3 linked regions of the Anolis sagrei genome follow. The protein of the gene in region 3 purifies or fractionates together with the protein of the main gene of each other region. This does not show direct contact. Links are inferred from orthologs where the notes say so. Each region holds a gene or a part of one and is shown on either strand. Other genes may lie near its edges.

Region 1 (7,179 bases), on a different chromosome or scaffold from region 3:
AATAATAATAATAATAATAATAATAATAATAATAATGGAATCAGAAGGTTAAATAAACCCAGAAACAGGGCTAACATTGGAAACATAAAATGTGCATTGGCCAATGTAATTTCTATTTTTTATTGGCTTCTCTATTATTATTATTATTATTATCATTATTATTATCATTATTATTATTATTATTATTATTATTATTATTATTATTATTATTTTAGAAACACAACAAGATGAGTCCACAGCAGACACTCTGCTGGCTATTGTATTGGATCACACGTTGGACACTTCCCAAGTGTCTAGGAATTATTATTATTATTATTATTATTATTATTATGCAAAAGGATGCATTCATGGAACTGGTTTAAAGCAGCTTAACATCTACACTGCAGACTGAATGCAGTTTAACACCTTTTTAACTGCCACGGCAAGGCAATGAAAGCCCTGGGAGTTGCAGTTTTACAAAGAATGCAAACTACAGATCAAATTATTTCTATAGCAGCTAACGTGGTACCAAACGTCATTCATTCTACAGTGTAGAGATGCATCCAAGGTCTGCTCGGGGTTCTCTTATGACCTTGGAAGGATTAAAGAAACGGAACCAAATCATTGTTTCTCCACGAGATTCTGCAGATAGTAAGGTGCCAGTTATTCCTCCATTCAGTTAACTGAAAAACACAAAGTCAGCGGACCTGATGGGATCCCTGTTGAAATCTTTAAAGGTGGTAGACCTGAGCTGACACAACACCTCCAGCAGCTCAATCATTGTTTCTTCACGGGTTCTGCAGATAGCGAGTTGCCAGTTATTCCTCCATTCAATCATCTGAAAAATAACAAAGTCAACGGACCTGATGGGATCCCTGTTGAGATCTTTAAAGGTGGTGGACCTGAGCCTTCACAACAACTCCAGCAGCTCAAACATTGTTTCTTCATGGGTTCTGCAGAGAGCGAGTTGCCCGTTATTCCTCCATTCAATCACCTGAAAAATAACAAAGTCAGCGGACCTGATGGGATCCCTGTTGAAATCTTTAAAGGTGGTGGACCTGAGCTGACACAACAACTCCAGCAGCTCATTAAAAAAGTGTGGACGATCGAGAAAATCCCAGCAGGCTTCATCATCACCCGTCTCTGGTGTCATCTGTCTCCCTCCTCCCTGGTTTTGACGAAGGCCCCCATCTGCTTGGTATGGGTGTTCTGGAGCTGCTCCAGCTGCCTCTGTCCACGGCGGAGAAGGTACTCTACGAGCAGGACCTCTGTCCGTGGGATCTGTGCGTTCTGCCGGAACTCGGCTCGGATCTGCGGCAGGAAGCCCGGCTTGCCTTTCCCGGCCCGAAGGAAGCTGCGGTACAAGGACAGCACCTGCCTCTGGAGCTTACTGTGGCGGCCCATGGAGCAGCTCCTCCCAGTTGCAAGGATGGAGTGCTCCAGGTAAGCAAAGCCTGAGGAACAAAGACAAAGTGTCAGGATAAGAGTGAGGGGAATTAAATAGGCCAACCTGTATGTGTCGTTCTACTTTTAATACGTTTTGGAGATCTCAAATTGCATTGTTGTTAGGTTCTTGTGGGTCTTTTCGGGCTATAGAGCCATGTTCTAGAGGCATTTCTCCTGACGTTTCGCCTGCATCTATGGCAAGCATCGTCAGAGGTTGTGAGGTCTGTTGGAAGTAGGAAAAATGGGTTATATATCTGTGGAATGGCTGGGGTGGGGCAAGGAGCTCTTCCCTGCTGCAGTTAGGTGTGAATGTTTAGCTGATCACCTTCATTAGCATTTGAAGGCCTGCCTGAGCCTGGGAAAATCCGTTGCTGGGAGGTGCTAAACAACAGAGAGGAAAAAACCAGGCACAGATTAACACCTCCCAGCAACGGATTTTCCCAGGCTCAGGCAGGCCTTCAAATGCTAATGAAGGTGATCAGCTAAACATTCACACCTAACTGCAGTAGGAAAGAGCTCCTTGCCCCACCCCAGCCATTCCACAGATATATAACCCATTTTTCCTACTTCCAACAGACCTCACAACCTCTGAGGATGCTTGCCATAGATGCAGGCGAAACGTCAGGAGAGAATGCCTCTAGAACATGCCTCTATAGCCCGAAAAAAACCCACAAGAACCTAGTGATTCCAGCCATGAAAGCCTTCGACAATGCATTGTTGTTGTTTTTAATGTTGCGAATCACTTTGTATCTCCAATAATAATATAATAGCCCTTTTATTATTTGAATATCCGCCCTACAATAAGTAATAGCAGCCCTATAATAACAATAGAAGCTCTTTCATTATTTTAATAGCAGCCCTATAATAATAATAATAATAATAACAATAAGTCTCTTTATTATTTTAATAGCAACCCAATAATAGTAATAATAATATAATAGCCCTTTTATTAATTGAATACCAGTCCTACAATAATAATAAGTAGTATTAGCATCTCTGTAATAATAATAGAAGCTCTTTTATCACTTTAATTTTAATAGCAGCCTAATAATAATAATAATCCTTTTATGTTAATACCAGCCTAATAATAATAATAACTCTTTTATTATGTTAATACTAGCCTAAGAATAATAATTAGTAGCCCTCCTATTATTTTAATAGAGGCCTAATAATAATAACTTTTATTATGCTAATACTAGCCTAATAATACTAATTAGTAGCCCTTCTACTATTTTAATAGCAGCCTAATAATAATAATAATAATAGCCCAGGGATGTAGTAAATCCATATTGGCTGGCCTTCAGGATTTAGGGGGAAAGGGGTCAAGGGCAGGTCCATCATGCAACCTCATGGCAACCCCACCAGTCCCAGAGCTGGTCCTGCCCGTCCCTTCTCTTTGCCGGACTCCCACCCAGGCTGGCCCCCTTTGGGACCCCCTCCTGCCCTTCCCACCGGGCTCCCTTCTCGCTCACTCCTTCTCTCTTCCGGATTTCAGCTCCTAGGCAGGCCCAAGCCCGCCATTGCAGAAACCTTGGCGCGCCATCTGAGCCTCCTGCGCGCTTCCCATTGGCTCCCTGGCCCTAGAGGGGGCGTTCCCCAACTCTTGTCGCTCCGCCCATTCAAAGCACGTGTAGGCTTGGAGGCCCCGCCTATTTGGAATCATAGAATCCTAGAGTTGGAAGAGTCCAATCCCATTCTGCCAAGAAGCAGGACAATTGGGTTGTTGTAGGTTTTTCCGGGCTATATGGCCATGTTCTAGAGGCATTTTCTCCTGACATTTCGCCTGCATCTATGGCAAGCATCCTCAGAGGTGTATTGGAAGTAGGAAAATGGGTTTATATATCTGTGAAAAGACCAGGGTGGGACAAAGGACTCTTGTCTGCTGGAGCTAGGTGTGAATGTTTCAACTGACCACCTTGATTAGCATTTGATTGCCTGGCAGTGCCTGGAGCAAACTTTGTGTTGAGAGGTGATTAGCAGGACAATTGCGTTCAAAGCACCCCCGACAGATGGCCATCCAGCCTCTGTTTCAAAGCCTCCACCACACTCCGGGGCAGAGAGTTCCACTGCTGAACAGCTCTCAGAGTCAGGAGGTGATTAGCAGGACAATTGCGTTCAAAGCACCCCCGACAGATGGCCATCCAGCCTCTGTTTCAAAGCCTCCACCACACTCCGGGGCAGAGAGTTCCACTGTTGAACAGCTCTCACAAAGTTCTTCCTAATGTTCAGGTGGAATCTCCTTTCGTGTAGTTTGAAGACATTGTTCCATTGTGTCCTAGCCTCCAGGGCCTCCCTCCTCCCTATGACTTCCTCTCACATCTTGATCCATGGCCCTCATCATGTCTCCTTTCAGCCTTCTCTTCTGAAGTCTAAACATGCCCAGCTCTCTTTAAGCCGCTCCTCATAGGGCTTGTTCTCCAGATCCGTGACCATTTGAGTCACCCTCCTCTGGACACATTCCAGCTTGTCAACATCTCTCTTGAATTGTGGTGCCCAGAATTGGACACAATATTCCAGGTGTGGTCTAACCAAAGCGGAATCGAGCATGGGGAGCAGGACTTCCCTGGATCTAGACACTATGCTCCTCTTGATGCAGGCCAACATCCCATTGGCTTTTTTTGCCACTACATCACATTGTTGGCTCATAAGGCATTGAAGGCATTGTTCCATTGCATCCTAGTCTCTGTTGTTCATTCTTTCATTCGTCTCCGACTCTTCGTGACCTCATGGACCAGCCCACGCCAGAGCTCCCTGTCGGCCGTCACCACCCCCAGCTCCCTCAAGGTCAGTCCAGTCACTTCAAGGTCTCTAGGGCAGTAGAAAACAAGCTTGCTCCCTCCTCCCTATGACTTCGCCTCATATCCAGCCTCTGTTTCAAAGCCTCCACCACACTCCGGGGCAGAGAGTTCCACTGCTGAACAACTCTCAGAGTCAGGAAGTTCTTCCTCATGTTCAGGTGGAATCTCCTTTCCTCTATTTTGAAGCCATTGTTCCATTGTGTCCTAGTCTCCAGGGAAACAGAAAACAAGCTTGCTCCCTCCTCCCTATGACTTCCCCTCACATATTTATACATGGCCCTCATCATGTCTCCTCTCAGCCTTCTCTTCTTCAGGCATTTTGGGTGAACTGCCTAATAATTTCACAAACCCCGATGACATCTAGGCATTTGATAATGCAACAATGTTAACAGTTCTAATCACAGAGGAGGAGGGTTTTTGGTGGGAGGATTCCACCAAATGATTTTAGTCGCTCTCCTCTGGACACATTCCAGCTTTGTCAACATCTCCCTTCAATTGTGGTGTCCAGAATTGGATGCAGTGTGATTCCAGGCAGAATAGAGCATGACTTCCCTGGTTCTGGACACTCGACTCCTATTGACGCAGGCCAAAATCTGTCTTCTCCTGCACAGAAACCCTGAGGGCACCTAGACGGTCCTAACAATGGGTTGTTGTAGATTTTTTCGGCCTCTATGGCCATGTTCTAGAGGCATTCTCTCCTGACATTTCGCCTGCATCTATGGCAAGCATCCTCAGAGGTAGTGAGGACTGTTGGAACTAGGAAAATTGGGTTTATATATCTGTGGAAAGACCAGAGTGGGACAAAGAACTCTTGTCTGCTGGAGCTGGGTGTGAATGTCTCAACTGACCACCTTGATTAGCATTTGATGGCCTGGCAGTGCCTGGAGCAATCTTTTGTTGAGAGGTGATTAATGTTCCTGATTGTTTCCTCTCTGTTGTTTTGCTGTTTTAATTTTAGAGTTTTTTTAATACTGGTAGCCAGATTTTGTTCATTTCCATGGTTTCCTCCATTCTGTTGAAATTGTCCACATACTTGTGGAATTCAATGGTTTCTCTGTGTAGCCTGACATGGTGGTTGTGAGAGTGGTCCTCACAATATTGCTGGACATAGGAGATTGGCTTTACATAATGTGATAGGCTTTATGGCTCCTAAACTATAGAATTAATGCAGTTTGAACTACCTTGGCTTTTTAAGTTGGCTTTTAAGATAATTTCAGGGGGTCCTGGGGTAATAATAATAATAATAATAATAATGAACAACTTTGGGTTGCTGTGAGTTTTCCAGGCTGCCTAGCCATGTTCCAGAAGCATTCTCTCCTGACCTTTCGCCCAGTTCTACGGCAGGCATCCTCAAAAGTTGTGAGGTCTGTCGGAAACTACAACTCCCATCATTCCATAGCTTTGAGCCAAGGCAGTTCCAAATGGGATCATAGAAGACCTAGAGCATGAAAGGACCCACAAAAGCCACCTTTCTGCCAGGCAGGAAGATACCATCTGATCCCTCCTAGCAGATGGCCATCCAGCCTCTGCTTAAAAACCTCCAGAGGGCAATCCAACACACTCCCAGGCAACAGCATATTCTAGCATGCATACATACATACAGTGGGGGGGGGGGAGTATTTAGTTAGATAGGAATTGTACAAGTTCTCCCACTTAAAAAGATGAGATATTGTCTCTCATAGTTGAGGTCTACCTAAGATGTCAATCACAGGCCTCTCTCATATTTTTAAGTGGGAGAACTTGTACAATTCCTATCTGACTAAATACTTTTTCCCCCACTGTACACACACACACATATCTAAAAGGTAAAGGTTTCCCTTTGCTGTTAAGTCCAGTCATGTCCGACTCTAGGGGTTGGTGTTCATCTCCATTTCTAAGTCGAAGAGCCAGCATTGTCCACAGTCACCTCCAAGGTCATGTGGCCAGCATGACTATCTGGAGGTCCTGTTACCTTCCCGCAGAAGTGGCATCTATTGATCTACTCACATCTGCATGTATACGAACCCACACAATATCTTTGTTCATCTGGAGAGGCCCTGCTCTTGATCCCGCCAGCATCGCAGGCGCGATTGGTGGGGATGAGAGGGCCTTTTCGGTGGTGGCCCCTCGACTCTGGAACTCACTCCCTAAGGACATCAGACAGGCCCCAACTCTGGCAGTTTTCAGGAGGAGTTTGAAGACGTGGTTGTTCCAGTGTGCCTTCCCGGATTAATGATCCCATAGCACTTTGTCCCGCTAAAGCACTTTACATTTTTTAGGTCTGCCCATATGTCTCTCCACAAACACCACTATCACCTGTTCGTCCATGTTCAGCACTATTTACAATTTTAATTTTACATTTGGCCTTCCCATAGTTTTAATTGTATGTTGTCTTATTGATAATGTTATATGTTTATGTTTTATTTTAATTGCTTATATTGTTGTGATTATTGCTTGTATTGTGTGTTCGGGCTCGGCCTCATGTAAGCTGCACTGAGTCCCTTGGGGAGATGGTAGTGTTGTTAAATAAAGTGTTGATATTATTATTATGTTTTCATACTGCTAGGTTGGCAGAAGCTGGGGCAACAGTGGGAGCTCACCCGCTCCCTGGATTCGGACCGTCGGCCTTTTGGTCAGCAAGTTCCACAACTCAGTGGTTTAACCAAAACCTTTGGATGGCATAGGGAAGGGTTTACATGCCTGTGGTGTTTGTTTTGCTATCTGTGCCCTTCAGCTTTCACTGCCTGAACATCAAACAAAAAGTGGGTGCTAGAAACAATATCATACAAAAGCTGACTGGCACAACCTGGAGATCACAGCCAGACACAGTGAAGACATCTCCCCTTTGCTACTCTGCTGCTGAGTACGCATGCCCAGAGTGGAACACATCTCACCACGCTAAAACAGTAGATGTGGCTCTTAATGAGACATGCCGCATTATCACGGGATGTCTGCGCCCTCCACCACTGGAGAAATT
Region 2 (7,151 bases), about 30 Mb from region 3:
TTTCCACCTGCTACTAAGGAGGCTGTTCAGGTCCTGACCCGGTGCTTGGCCGCTGTGTCGGACTGGATGAGGGCTAAAAAATTGAGATTGAATCCAGACAAGACAGAGGTACTCCTGGTCAGTCGAAAGGCCGAACAGGGCATAGGGTTACAGCCTGTGTTAGACGGGGTTACACTCCCCCTGAAGACGCAGGTTCGCAGCTTGGGTGTGATCCTGGATTCATCGCTGAGCCTGGATGTCCAGGTTTCGGCAGTGACCAGGGGAGCATTTGCACAATTAAAACTTTTGCGCCAGCTGCACCCGTACCTTGGGAAGTCTGACTTGGCTACGGTGGTCCACGCTCTGGTTACATCCCGTATAGATTACTGCAATGCGCTCTACGTGGGGTTGCCTTTGAAGACGGCCCGGAAGCCTCAAATGGTCCAGCGTGCGGTAGCCAGGTTGCTAACAGGAGCGGGGCTCAGGGAGCATACAACTCCTCTGTTGAATCAGCTCCACTCACTGCCAGTCTGCTACCGGGCTCAATTCAAAGTGCTGGCTTTAGCCTATAAAGCCCTAAATGGTTCTGGCCCAGTCTATCTATCTGAATGCATCTCTCCCTACGAACCCCCCAGGAACTTAAGATAGTCTGGGGAGGCCCTGCTCTCGATCCCGCCTGCTTCGCAAGCACGTCTGGCGGGGACGAGAGACAGGGCATTCTCTGTGGTGGCCCCCCGGCTGTGGAACTCCCTCCCTAGGGATATTAGATCAGCCCCCTTCCTCCTGACTTTCCGAAAAAGAGTAAAAACTTGGCTCTCCGAGCAAGCATTCGGAACCCCGGAGTAAACAGACAAACTAGAGTTGGAAATTGACCCAGGAACGGCCAAGACAATGTAATCGATGAAGATTTGAATGACAGGACATAGTCTCTTTTTAAATTGTTTATTATGCACTGTCGTTTATGTTTAATTCCACTTGATGTTTTTGCTTTATCAATGTATGTATTTTGTTTCGGCATCGAATTGTGCCGACTGTGTATACCGCCCTGAATCGCCTTCAGGCTGAAATGGGCGGGATAGAAATAATGTAAATAATAAATAACCAGAACGTGAACTACCGTGGCCAAGTCAGACCTCCCAAGATATGGGCACAGCTGGCGCACAGGTTATAATTGTGCGAATGCTCCCCCGGCCACCGCTGAGACCTGGGGTCCCAGGTTCATGGTTGTGCCACATGAAGGCCCACCACAGTCATTCCAAGGATCCACTTGGGCCTATTACTTTCAAGCCAAACCAACCTGGTGCTGCCCTACCAGTTAGGGCTTCCCTTCCACATGGGCAGCCCCGAAAAAGAGGCCTGGCTATTATTTATTAGGGATATTAGTAATATATTTCAGCAAGTGGAAGAGGAACTGTCCTCATCGCAGTCTATGGGCTCAATCTAGATGCAATTAGGAACTATTATCATTAACATAATCATCAGCATTAGAACCATTATCATTATTACCATCATCAATATTATCATCATCATCATCATCATAGTCAGTATTAGTAACATTTTCATTATCATTATCAGTATTATTACCATTATTATTGCTGTCAGCATTAGTACCATTATCATTATTATTACCATCATCATCAGTGCAAAAACTGGGTTGCAGTTAAACATAAAAAAACCAAGATTATGGCCACCAGACTGATTGATAACTGGCAAATAGAGGGAGAAAATGTGGAGACAGTGACAGACTTTGTATTTCTAGGCACGAAGATTACTGCAGATGCAGGCTGCAGCCAGGAAATCAGAAGACATTTACTTCTTGGGAGGAGAGCAATGATCAATCTCAATAAATAGTGAAGAGTAGAGACATCACACTAGCCACAAAGATCCGCATAGTTAAAGCAATTGCATTATATGGATGTGAGAGGTTGACCATAAGGAAGGCTGAGTGAAGGAAGATAGATGCTTTTGAACTGTGGTGTTGGAGGAAAATTCTGAGAGTGGCTTGGACCGTGAGAAGATCAAACCAGTCCGTAGTCCAGGAAATAAAGCCCGACTGCTCACTGGAGGGAAGGATATTAGAGGCAAAGATGAAGTCCTTTGGCCACATCATGAAAGGACAGGAAAACGTGGAGAAGACAATCATGCTGGGAAAAATGGAAGGGGCCAACGAAGGGCAAGATGGATGGATGTTATCCTTGAAGTGACTGGCTTAACTTTGAAGGAGCTGGGGGTGGCCACGGCCGACAGGGAGCTTGAGTTCACAAAGAGTCGGAAGTGATTGAACAAATAACAACAACAACAAACACTATTATTACCATTACTATTATCGTCAGTATTAGTACCATTAACATTATTACCACCAGTATTATTACCATTATACTTATCATCTTCATAATCAGTATTACATTATCATCATCAGGATTACCATTATTATCATCAGTAGTAGTACAATTATCATTATTATTACCATTATCATCAGTATTATTAGCAATATCATCATCAGTATTATTACTATAATTTTTATCATCAATATTATCATTCTTATGATTAGTATTTATTACCATTATCATAACCAGTAGTATTACCATTATTATTATATTATTATGATTGTTATCATAATTATTATGATTATCATCACTAGCATTATTACTATCCCTTTTCTTCTCTCCCAAAGAAGGCTCTGAGCGGCGCATGCGCACAAATATCCTACAAGATGTGTCCAATATCTTTCCTGACCCTAACTAGTTTCCCCGGCCTCCAAAGTGCTTGGGACTGCTGCTCCCAGAATGCTCGGCCACAGGCCAAGGCAGCCGAGGCTTCTGGGACTCGAAGTCCCAAATGCCAAGAAGGGGCTTCCAAAGGCCAGCGAGGCCGAGCTTTCTTTTGGGCCTAGAAGCGGAGGAAGCCTCGGGCTCACCTTCTCGTGGTAGCCCGCGACCAGGGAGGTGGAGGCCGGGCCCGGGCGAGGCCGCAGAAGGGCTGCCGCCGCGCTGCGCACGCTGCTTGCCCGAAGCGCCGCCATCTTGAATGTTTTGAACAGAGGACAGTGGAGGGCAACGGGGGCGTGGCCCCCGGGGGCGTGGCCGCCAGGGGAAGAGCCGCAAGGGCGCCATAGGTCACGCCTCCTTGTGTCGTCACTCCCTTCGCTAAGCCCAGCAAAAGGGGGGGGGGGGGGGGGAAACGCGGTCAGGAGTTAAGCCTTTACCTTCCAGAGGTTCTTTTCTCAAACTTCCAATATTATTATTCCAATAACAATAATTCCAAGTCCCACCAAGTACAGGGTCGAGGTTAATCTTTGTATGTTGTGGATTTTGAACTGTACTTTAATGTTATATTATTAATAATATTATTCCAATATATTAATTTTATTGGGATAATAATAGATTATTAATAATGTTATTTGAATAATAATAATCTTTGTATGTTGCGGATTTTAAATTGTATTTTAATGTGATATTATCATTCTAAGAATGACTATAATGAATGACTCTAAAGAATGACTCTCCCTGCAGACATCAGACAGGCGCCCTCCCTTATGTCCTTCCGAAAAAGCCTTAAGACATGGCTGTTCGAGAAGGCATTTAATTAAGTGCTATAAAAATGTGGTAAAGACGACTGGAAAGGAACAAGGAATATGAGATTGGTTATGATTCCACTATGAGACGAAGCGGATTTTTAGTGTAATTTTTGTAATTGTTGTATTGTTAATATGTTGTTGTAATTGCCTCTTTGTAAATTGCCTTTTTATATGTGTTGTACACCGCCATGAGTCGCCCTAAAGGGCTGAGAATGGCGGTTAATAAATGCATCAAATAAATAAATAAATAAATAAATATAAAATTTTTCCAATATTATTATGATTCTAATAATGATTCCAAGCCCCAGCAAGCATATCACATGAAAATAAAGTTTAAAGTTCACAACATACAAAGATTAACATTCATCGTGTGTTTGCTGGGACTTGGAATTATTATTAATGGAATTATCATTATTAATATTATTAGTAATATTAATTTGAATAATATATTAATAATAATATTCCAATAATAATAACAGTATTATTCCAATATTATTGTACTATTATTATTATTGCATTATTAATAATAATATCACATTAAATTACAATTAAGAATCTTTAATGTGATAATAAATATTAATATTCCAATAATGATAATACTAATGTTCATTCGTTCAGTCGTCTCCGACTCTTCGTGACCTCATGGACCAGCCTACGCCAGAGCTCCCTGTCGGCCGTTACCACCCCCAGCTCCCTTAAGGTCAGTCCAGTCACTTCAAGGATGCCATCCATCCATCTTGCCCTTGGTCGGCCCCTCTTCCTTTTGCCTTCCACTTTCCCCAGCATAATTGTCTTCTCTAGGCTTTCCTGTCTCCTCATGATGTGACCAAAGTACTTCAACTTTGTCTCTAGTATCTTTCCCTCCAGTGAGCAGTTGGGCTTTATTTCCTGGAGGATGGACTGGTTGGATCTTCTCGCAGTCCAAGGCACTCTCAGCACTTTCCTCCAACACCACAGCTCAAAAGCATCGATCTTTGAAACATAACAAGATGAGTCCACAGCAGACAAGATCACTCTGCTGGCTGATATATTGGATCACACGTCATATTATTATTATTATTATTGGAATGATATTAATAATAAAATCACATTAAAGTACAATTTAAAATCCGCAACATGGAAAGATTAAAATCGATCCCATCCTTGTTGAGAGTTGGAAGAATTCTTCTTCTTATTTGATTAATATTGGCATATTTTTATTGTTACTATGCTTCTTTCAAGGGCCAGCAAGCATAGGCTGCCATTGAAGGACAAGGAAACTGACACACTCTTGATGGCCGCCCCGGCATCCTAAGCCGTGCTTCCGGAAAGGACATAGTTTGACCTTCCTTCAAGCCCCCAAGCAGAGGCGTCTAACGGACCGCTTGCTGGAAAGATGCAGGCGGCCAAAACAGTCGCGTCATTTCCCGTCAGGCAGTGGATTAGACAGCTGAAAGGGCTTAACGGCGGAGAAAGATGGCGGACGGCGGCGAAGCTGAGGCGTCGTTGTGGGCCGCAGGAGGCTCGGAAGGGGACGAGGAACTGGAGTCCGAAGACTCCTCGGAGGCCGACGAGGAAAAGGAGAACCAGGCTGAAATTCAGCGCTTGGAAGAGCAGGTGAGGGCCCCGGAGCGGGGCTTCGCGCGGGGCGGGGCTTCGCGATGGGAGACCACGCCCCCTGAGGAAGCATGGCTTGCATTGCATCCAACTTCCAATGCCTCCTTCTGTTTGATGCAGGTTTTCAATGTCATGGTTTTTTAAAAAAATATGCCTCAATCTAGAGATCAGAGATATAATAGTATGAATAATGATATTAAAATATAACTAATAATCATATATAAATAATATATACATTTAATGGATAACCTTAATAGCCTTATATTTTACAATATTAATATAATATATAAAATAATATAAAAATAATATAATTATACATGTTATCTATATAATATAAATGTAAGGGGAATAGTATGAAGGCTGGGTCTGGAAGCTCAGAGTGTTACACTGTTTCCGCTTTGCTCCTTCGGGAGCGCTGTTTGCGCAACGCAAAACGGAACACAAATATTATAGAAGGCATGTAAGAGTTCTTTAATGGTATTTATTTATTTATTTATTTACTCGAACCCTAAACCTTACCCTAACCCAAACCCTAAACCTTACCTTAACCCTAATCCTAATCCTTACCTGACCCCAAACCCTATTCCTAACCCTTACCTTATCCTAACCTTCCCCTCCATTCTATCCTTCCACCAAATGTAACTACGAAGTATAGTCCCACCCTCAGTGTGCCGATCTCCCCTTCCCTTATTCACAACCGCCATTGCGGAATGTGCGTAACGCTCGGAGCTTCTGGACCCAGCTATCATACTATCACCAATGTAAGTATAATAATATGTATATAAATATCTATAAATAATATATATATATATACATAATGTATATAAATACATAATGTAATTATATACATTGTGTGTGTATATATATATTATTTTATTTACTGCATTTTTACCCCACAATACCTCCACTATCTCTGTGTTAGACTACATAGAGAAGCCATTGAAATCCACAAGAAGCACGTGAACAATTTCAACAGAAAGAAAGAAACCATGAATATGAACAAAATCAGGATACAAGTATTAAAACACTCTGAAATCAGGACAGTAAATAAAGAACAACTCTAATAAACAGGGGAAATCCAGAAAGGAAGCAATCAGGGTCAGCAAACACCTCCCAACCAGGCAGGAAGCTGCCAGGATTTGAAACTGCTATTCAATGCTAATCAAGCTGGCAAGTGGCAACATTCACACTTGCCTCAAACAGTCAAGAGTTCTTTCTCCCACCTTGGACATTATTTCACAGATATACAGGGTGAAGCACCATAACTTCCTTTTTTCAAAACTTAATAAAACCCATTGTATGAATCAGAATTTTTTTATAATGTAGGTGCATACCTAAAGTTTTGTTTTACGTAGTTTTGAAGATCAAATTAGGTAGGTGATGTCCCCCATTCTCCATACACTGAGTAAACTGATTTCTAGCATTTGTCATGACTCTTGCCAGCATAGCAGGCGTTATGTTGGCAATTTCTTCCTGGATGTTGGTCTTCAAATCTTGTAGGGTCCTTGGAGGGTTCACATAAACACGGGATTTCAAAAAACTCCATAGAAAAAAAATCACAAGGGGCCAAATCTGGAGAGCGGGCCAGCCCCTCCAAATCCCCCCTAATTGAGATGAGGCGCTCTGGGAAGTGTTCCCTCAAAACAGCCATAGATGCTTTTGAATTGTGTTCAGTTGCACCGTCTTGTTGGAACCAAATGTCCCCTAAATCCAACCCATCTAGCCTTAGGAAAAAAATTCCTGTAACATGTTTACATACCAGTCCGAATTAACTGTCACTGCAATTTCATTTTCCTCAAAGAACCAGGGACCAATAATTCCAGCTGAGGAAATTGCACACCACACTGTGATTTTAGGTGAATGCAAAGGCTTTTGATGCAATTCTCGAGGATTGTTGTCAGCCCAGTAGCGCATGTTTTGTTTGTTGATGGATCCACACAAATGAAAATGGGCTTCATCACTAAAAAAACCCCAATAGTGTCCTCAGGAATGACTTCGA
Region 3 (7,552 bases):
TAACATTTAGACAAATGACCAGCCACCGCCAGAAGGGACAGAGAGTTTCACCTATGCTGATGATCGTGCCATTACCACTCAAGCAGGGAGCTTTGAGATGGTAGAACAGAAGCTCTTCGAAGCTCTAGGTGCCCTTACTGCCTATTACACGGAAAACCAGCTGATCCCTAACCCATCTAAAACACAGACATGTGCTTTTCATCTCCAGAACAGAGAAGCATCCCGAGCTCTGAAGATCACCTGGGAAGGAATCCCACTGGAGCATTGCAGCGCACCCAAATACATGGGAGTCACTCTGGACCATGCTCTGACCTACAAGACGCACTGCCTGAACATCAAGCAAAAAGTGGGCGCTAGAAACAATATCATACGAAAGCTGACTGGCACAACCTGGGGATCACAACCAGACACAGTGAAGACATCAGCCCTTGCACTATGCTACTCTGCTGCTGAGTATGCATGCCCAGTGTGGAAAACATCTCACCACTCTAAAGCAGTAGATGCGGCCTTAATGAAACATGCCGCCTTATCACGGGGTGTCTGCGCCCTACACCACTGGAGAAATTACACTGTTTAGCCGGTATTGCACCACCTGACATCTGCCGGGAAGTAGCAGCCAATAGTGAAAGGACCAAGGCAGAGACATCTCCAGCTCATCCCTTGTTTGGGTATCAGCCAGCACATCAATGACTTAAATCAAGAAATAGTTTTCTAAGATCTACAGAGACACTCGCTGGAACACCTCAGCAAACGAGAGTCCAAAAGTGGCAGGCTCAAACCCAGAACCTCAATCAATGGCTGATACCGAATGAGAGACTCCCCTCTGGGCACACAGAAAACTGGGCGACTTGGAAGGCTCTGAACAGACTGCGCTCTGGCACCACGAGATGCAGAGCCAACCTCAAGAAATGGGGCTACAAAGTGGAATCCACGACATGCGAGTGTGGAGAAGAGCAAACCACTGACCACCTGCTGCAATGCAACCTGAGCCCTGCCACATGCACACTGGAGGACCTCCTTGCAGCAACACCAGAAGCACTCCAAGTGGCCAGGTACTGGTCAAAGGACATTTAATAGAATACCAAGCTTGCAAACTCTGTTTTATCTGTTTGTTAAAAATTTGTTAAAATTGTAATCCAATTGTCTGGTTGATACTGACACGATAAATACCTGCCCAGAAATCAGTAGGCAGAGAGAGAGTTTCTGCAAGTGAAACAAACAGTAGAAGAAGAGAAACACGCACTGGCAGGTTATGTGAAAGCCAACATTGAGGGAAGACAGTAGTAGTAAACTGCATCAAGTGCAAAACACAAAGAGTGAATACCGTAAAAACAAAATCCAGAGCAGAAGAGAAAACTGGCAAAAGAAGGCTCTCCATGGACAGTTCCTGGGAAAAACTGAGAGCAAAATTGACAAAGAAGAAACATGGATGTGGCTCACAAGTGGAACTTTGAAAAAGAGACAAAGGGCCTGATTCTGGCAGCCCAAGAACAAGCCATTAGAACCAATGCCATCAAAAATTGAAAAGTCGACGGAGATCCCAAGTGTAGACGCTGCAAGGAAGCAGATGAAACAATAGATCCTCAGCTGCTACAAGAAGATCACGCACACGGACTACAAGCAGAGGCACAACACAGTTGCTCAGATGATTAATTGAAACTTGTGCCACAAATACCATCTGCCTGCGACAAATACCCAATAAACAATAATAATATTAACTTTATTAACTTTATTTATACCCCACAAAATCTCCCGAAGGACTCGATGCGGCTTACAAAGGCCAAGGCCGCCGACAACAACAACATACAATACACAATAAAACTCATAAGCAAATAATAAGCATCAAGCAAAACAATAAAACAGTAAAAAGATGACACCATGACGCAATTAAAACCTAAAGGCTGGGCCAAATGTAATAGACAAAATTTAAAAGTGCTGAACTTGACAGGTAATATGTAGAGGTATTTGGAGGTATGTGCAATGTGCAGATAACCCTGAATCTCTAACAAAGTGCATTTGGGACTTGATGCCGGGAGTTTCCTATTCTGGAAAGGCACACTGGAACAGCCAGGTCTTCAGGCTCTTCCTGAAGACTGCCATTGTTGGGGCTTGTCTGATGTCCCTGGGGAGAGAGTTCCAGAGTCGGGGGGCCACCACAGAGAAGACCCTGTCCCTCGTCCCCACCAGACGCGCTTGCGACGCAGGTGGGATCGTGAGCAGGGCCTCTCCAGATGATCGGAGGGAGCGTGCGGGTTCATAAACAGAGATGCGGTCACGCAGGTAGGCAGGTCCCAGACCGTTTAGGGCTTTGTAGGTAAGCACCTGCACCTTGAATTGGGTTCGGTAGGTAAACGGCAGCCAATGGAGCTCCTTAAATAGGAGGGTTGACCTCTCTCTGTTAGGAGCACCAGTTAACATCCTGGCTGCCGCCCGCTGGACCAGCTGAAATTTCCGAGCCGTTTTCAAGGGCAGCCCCATGTAGAGCGCATTACAGTAGTCCAATCTAGAGGTGACCAAGGCATGGACCACCCCAGCCAGATCAGCCTTTACGAGGTATGGTCGCAGTTGGCGCACGAGTCTCAATTGTGAAAAGGCCCTCCCGGACACCGCCTACGCCTGAGCCTCAAACGTAAGCGATGAATCCAAGAGGACTCCCAAACTGCGGACCTGTGACTTCAGGGGGAGTGTAACCCCAACACAGGCTGCCACCCTATACCCCAATCCGGTTTTCGATCGACCAGGAGGACCTTTGTCTTGACGGGATTAATCTTCAGCGTGGAAAATTATATAATAATAATAATATAAATATAATACTATACTAATAAATAAATATAATAAAATAATAAAATAAATATAATACTACAATAATAATAATAATAATTGTATATGATAAATAAATACCCGGATGACCCGGAAATGCTTCTTGCTGGTCTGTTGGTACAACTCTGACAATCTCTGGAAAACATAATCACAGTTCGGGTCCCGCCCAAAGCTGTATTCCGCATTCACGCAGTCTGCAAAGAGAGAACATTTGCATATCCAACTGCTCCATTTGCATATTTAAAAGAAAACAAGGCAAGTGTTTCCAAGTATATTATATATAGAGAATAAATATTAAATATAATGAAGAAATATCATGAATATAAATATAATAATATAAATAATAAAATACAATACTATTATAATGTGTAGTAATAATAATAGCAATGATATGAATGAGAGCGAGCCCTACTAACCGAGGTTGTGGAAGCCCGGGGAGAGGCCGAAGAGCCTTCCCCAGGCCTTGAGGCCTTGTCCGTTTCCTTCTCCTATTTCTCCTTCTTCTGGAATGGAGGGCAGCGGTTCCTGAGTGGGAAGCGTGTCTACAGAGCTCACCGTCGCCGAACTCGAGGAGCCCGAAGTGGACGAACTGGGGCCTTCCTCGGCCTTTACCTCGTGCGACATCTTCGGAGAATGAAGCACGGCCAGGGTTCCCGCTTATTTTTTATACCGGCACGTGACATGGCCCGCCTCAGCCAATCACAGCCCAAGTGAGGGCTTCCTGCAATGGCAGCCCATCCCTGAGAGGACCAATCAGTGATGGCTCTTACTGTCTTATTAAATCACTATTCGCTGTTTCCTTTAAACATGCGCAAAAAAGAATCTTTCCAAAGTTCGACCTGGAACTGGCTCTCTGAGGAGAATACTGCGCATGCGTCTGGTGTGCCGGAGGCGAATAAGTGAATCGCGCGCATGCGCAGAACAGTAGTTAAGTAAAATGTTGCAAAGCTGTAACTGGTTCTGAGAAAACGGCGCATGCGTTTATATGAACGGAGGCGAATAAGAGATTGGAGCGCATGCGCAGAACTGCAGAGTTCGCTCTGAGCGAACAGTACGCATGCGTGGACATCTAACAGAGGCCAAGAATCATAGAATCAAAGAGTTGGAAGAGACCTCATGGGCCATCCAGTCCAACCCCCTGCCAAGAAGCAGGAATATCGCATTCAAATCACCCCTGACAGATGGCCATCCAGCCTTTGTTTAAAAGCTTCCAAAGAAGGAGCCTCCACCACATTCCGGGGCAGAGAGTTCCACTGCTGAACGGCTCTCACAGTCAGGAAGTTCTTCCTCATGTTCAGATGGAATCTCCTCTCTTGTAGTTTGAAGCCATTGTTCCGCGTCCTAGTCTCCAAGGAAATAGAAAACAAGCTTGCTCCCTCCTCCCTGTGGCTTCCTCTCACATATTTATACATGGCTATCATATCTCCTCTCAGCCTTCTCTTCTTCAGGCTAAACATGCCCAGCTCCTTAAACCGCTCCTCATAGGGCTTGTTCTGCAGACCTTTAATCAAGAGATGGTTGACGCGAAAGCGCATGCGTTAATGTGTAACTGAAGTAAAGCCACCTGCACTCCTTATATTTTTATCGGCTTTATACAAACTTATGCAATGCTTTTGATACGAAATAAGGCACTAAATGGTGCGCATGCGCAGATCTGCGACTGAGGCTCATCAGAAACTGGTGCGCATGCGCAGACGTGTAACGGCCCTGAGGGCGACACCACGCATGCGCTCACCCCAAAAGGTCATTTCCCCCCGTCGTAAAGTCCTAGCGATGTGGTTGGGCGCGCTCCGGCGGGGCCTGAGGCCTTGGAGGGCGCTCTCGACGCGGGCCTGGCTCTCATGCTGGAGCTGCGGGCTCTCCCTGCCTCCCTCCGGCGCCCCGTGTCGCTTCTGCCCGTCCTGCCGCGCCCTGCAGCCCCCAGAACCCCAGCAGGACCTCTTCAGCGTCATGGGATGGTGAGGAAACGCCGAAACACGCCAAAAACTCCTATTCTCACGTTTCGCGGGAAATGGGAAGCGAGGACACGGATCTGGGCCGGTCCGAGCATGCGCAGTGTAGAAGGGATGCGTCGCTAAGGGCAACGCTCTAACCTCTCGAACCATCCAATGGGGGATGTCCCATTGGCAAGGGGCGTGGCCACGTGTCTCTTCTTTCCAAAGGGGCGTGGCGAGTGTCACTTTTCCTTTGTTAACCATATTCCTATGCTAAGGAGGGGGGCGTGGCTTTTAGAAGAAGGGGCTTATTTATCATGTCATCAGCAACCAGACCATTGTATTACATTTCTAACAGAACAAAACAAACAGATAAAAAAATAACACAGATCTTGCAAGCTTGGTAGTTGGTTAAATGTCCTTTGACCAGTATCTGGCCACTTGGAGTGCCTCTGGTGTTGCTGCAAGAAGGTCTTCCATTGTGCATGTGGCAGGGCTCTGGTTGCATTGCAGCAGGTGGTCAGTGGTTTGCTCCTCTCCGCACTCGCATGTTGTGGATTCCACTTTGTAACCCCATTTCTTAAGATTGGCTCTGCATCTCGTGGTGCCAGAGCGCAGTCTGTTCAGCTCCTTCCAAGTTGCCCAGTCCTCTGTGTGCCAAGGAGGGAGTCTCTCATCTCATATTATTATTATTATTATTATTATTATTAACATCTCCCGCAGGACTCGATGCGGCTTACAAAGGCCAAGGCCTCAACACAACAACAGCAAAACAGTAACAATACAATTTAAAGCAAATTAAAACATAAGCAATAACAAAACAATACATCAATTACGCAATAAAAACCAGGGCCGGGCCAGTGATGGGTACAGGTTAAAAAGTGCTGGGTGTGGCAGGAGGTATGTTGGATTTCCGGGCAAGTGCAATGTGCAGAGAGTCTTAAACTCTAATAAAGTGCTTCTGGGACGTAGTGCTGGAGGTTATCCTATTCCGGAAAGGCACATCAGAATAGCCAGGTCTTCAGGCTCTTCCTAAAGATTGCCAACATTGGGGCTTGTCTGATGTCCTTGGGGAGAGAGTTCCAGAGTCGGAGGGCCACCACAGAGAAGGCCCTGTCCCTCGTCACCACCAAATGCGCTTGCGACGCAGGTGGGATCGTAAGCAGGGCCTCTCCAGATGAACGAAGGGATCGCGTGGGTTCATACACGGAGATGCGGTCACGCAGGTAGGCAGGTCCCAAACCGTTTAGGGCTTGGTAGGTAAGCACCTGCACCTTGAATTGGGTTCGGTAGGTAAACGGCAGCCAATGGAGCTCCTTAAACAGAAGGGTTGACCTCTCTCTGTAAGGAGCGCCAGTTGACATCCTGGCCACCGCCCATTGAACCAGTTGGAATTTCCGAGCCGTTTTCAAGGGCAGCCCGACATAGAGCGCATTACAGTAATCCAATCTAGAGGTGACCAAGGCATGGACCACCCCAGCCAAATCAATCCATATGACCCATGGATTGAGGTGCTGGGCTTGAGCCTGCTACTTTTGGACCCTCGCTTGCTGAGGTGTTCCAGTAAGTGTCTCTGTAGATCTAAGAAAACTATTTTTTGATTTAAGTCGTTGATGTGCTGGCTGATACCCAAACAAGGGGTAAGCTGGAGATGTCACTGCCTTGGTCCTTTCACTATTTGTTGCTACTTCCTGGCGGATGTCAGGTGGTGCAATACCGGCTAAGCAGTGTAATTTCTTCAGTGGTGTAGGGCGCAGACACCCTGTGATAATGCGGCATGTCTCATTAAGAGCCACATCCACTGTTTTAGTGTGGTGAGATGTGTTCCACACTGGGCATGCATACTCAGCAGCAGAGTAGCATAGCGCAAGGGCAGATGTCTTCACTGTGTCTGGTTGTGATCCCCAGGTTGTGCCAGTCAGCTTTCATATATATTGTTTCTAGCGTCCACTTTTTGCTTGATGTTTAGGCAGTGCTTCTTGTAGGTCAGAGCACGGTCCAAAGTGACTCCCAGGTATTTGGGTGCGCTGCAATGCTCCAGTGGGATTCCTTCCCAGGTAATCCCCAGAGCTCGGGATGCTTGTGTTGTGTGTTATCAGCTAAAGGACGTGGTCTGTGACCAGGCGTGAGAACACTCGGAGGGCTTTCTCCACTGATAGTAGTTCTAGCGCTTTGATATGATTTTCCTGTTCCCGTGGGGACAAGTGTCTATGGATCATGACCCTTGCAGGTGGGCGCCCCAACCCCAGCAGAACGCAGCTGTTGTCAGTTATAGTGATGGCCGAGGGACCATCCCTGAGCAAACATTGGATCTCTTTGTCCACCTGGGCAGGGTCTGGAGCACCGATTGTGGTGGTTCCAGTACATGTTCTGTTGGTCAAGGAGCAGGTTGAACACTCGGAGGAACCTGGTTTGCAGATGCCGTAGCCTTAGTCGCGTGAACCTGGTGACAGTGGTGGTAGAGGCCGTGTGGCCCAAGATGCATGGCTCGTGGTGTGGAATTTGTTGATAATGGCCCACAGGTTGTGGAGCCGTTCCTCCAGGAGGTAGGACTTCTGTGTTGTGGAGTCTATAACAGCTCCGATGTTTGGGAGACGGATAGGACTTCTCTCAGTCAGCCACAAGGCCCAGAGCCAGCAGGAGAGACAAAGTGTATTGAATGTCAGACTGTAATTGCTCATGAGAGACAGGTGACTGTCATCAAAGTATGGGAAAATTATGACCTCTTGCTGTCGCAGGTAGGCTGCCACCATGGCCATGCATTTGGTAAATACTCGGGGCACATGGAGAGACCAAAC

Evidence for each region.
Region 1: the proteins of HSCB (region 3) and SDHAF1 purify together in Homo sapiens (co-immunoprecipitation; 3 studies listed by BioGRID and IntAct, with this or other methods). This does not show direct contact. The link is inferred for Anolis sagrei from reciprocal best matches to the Homo sapiens genes HSCB and SDHAF1.
Region 2: the proteins of HSCB (region 3) and ISCU purify together in Homo sapiens (affinity purification with western blotting; 3 studies listed by BioGRID and IntAct, with this or other methods). This does not show direct contact. The link is inferred for Anolis sagrei from reciprocal best matches to the Homo sapiens genes HSCB and ISCU.

What each region holds. Positions count from the first base shown.
Region 1 is NC_090035.1:77,676,244-77,683,422, forward strand, and holds the start of SDHAF1 (succinate dehydrogenase assembly factor 1, mitochondrial), read right to left. Parts: upstream 3,009-7,179; 5' UTR 2,898-3,008; intron 1,434-2,897; 5' UTR 1,384-1,433; coding exon 1,129-1,383; 3' UTR 1-1,128.
Region 2 is NC_090034.1:29,967,788-29,974,938, forward strand, and holds the start of ISCU (iron-sulfur cluster assembly enzyme ISCU), read right to left. Parts: upstream 3,034-7,151; 5' UTR 3,002-3,033; coding exon 2,897-3,001; intron 1-2,896. Other genes in the region: SART3 (squamous cell carcinoma antigen recognized by T-cells 3), read left to right, coding at 5,012-5,152.
Region 3 is NC_090034.1:60,325,997-60,333,548, reverse strand, and holds the start of HSCB (iron-sulfur cluster co-chaperone protein HscB), read left to right. Parts: upstream 1-4,522; 5' UTR 4,523-4,545; coding exon 4,546-4,778; intron 4,779-7,552. Other genes in the region: CHEK2 (serine/threonine-protein kinase Chk2), read right to left, coding at 2,902-3,014, 3,237-3,444.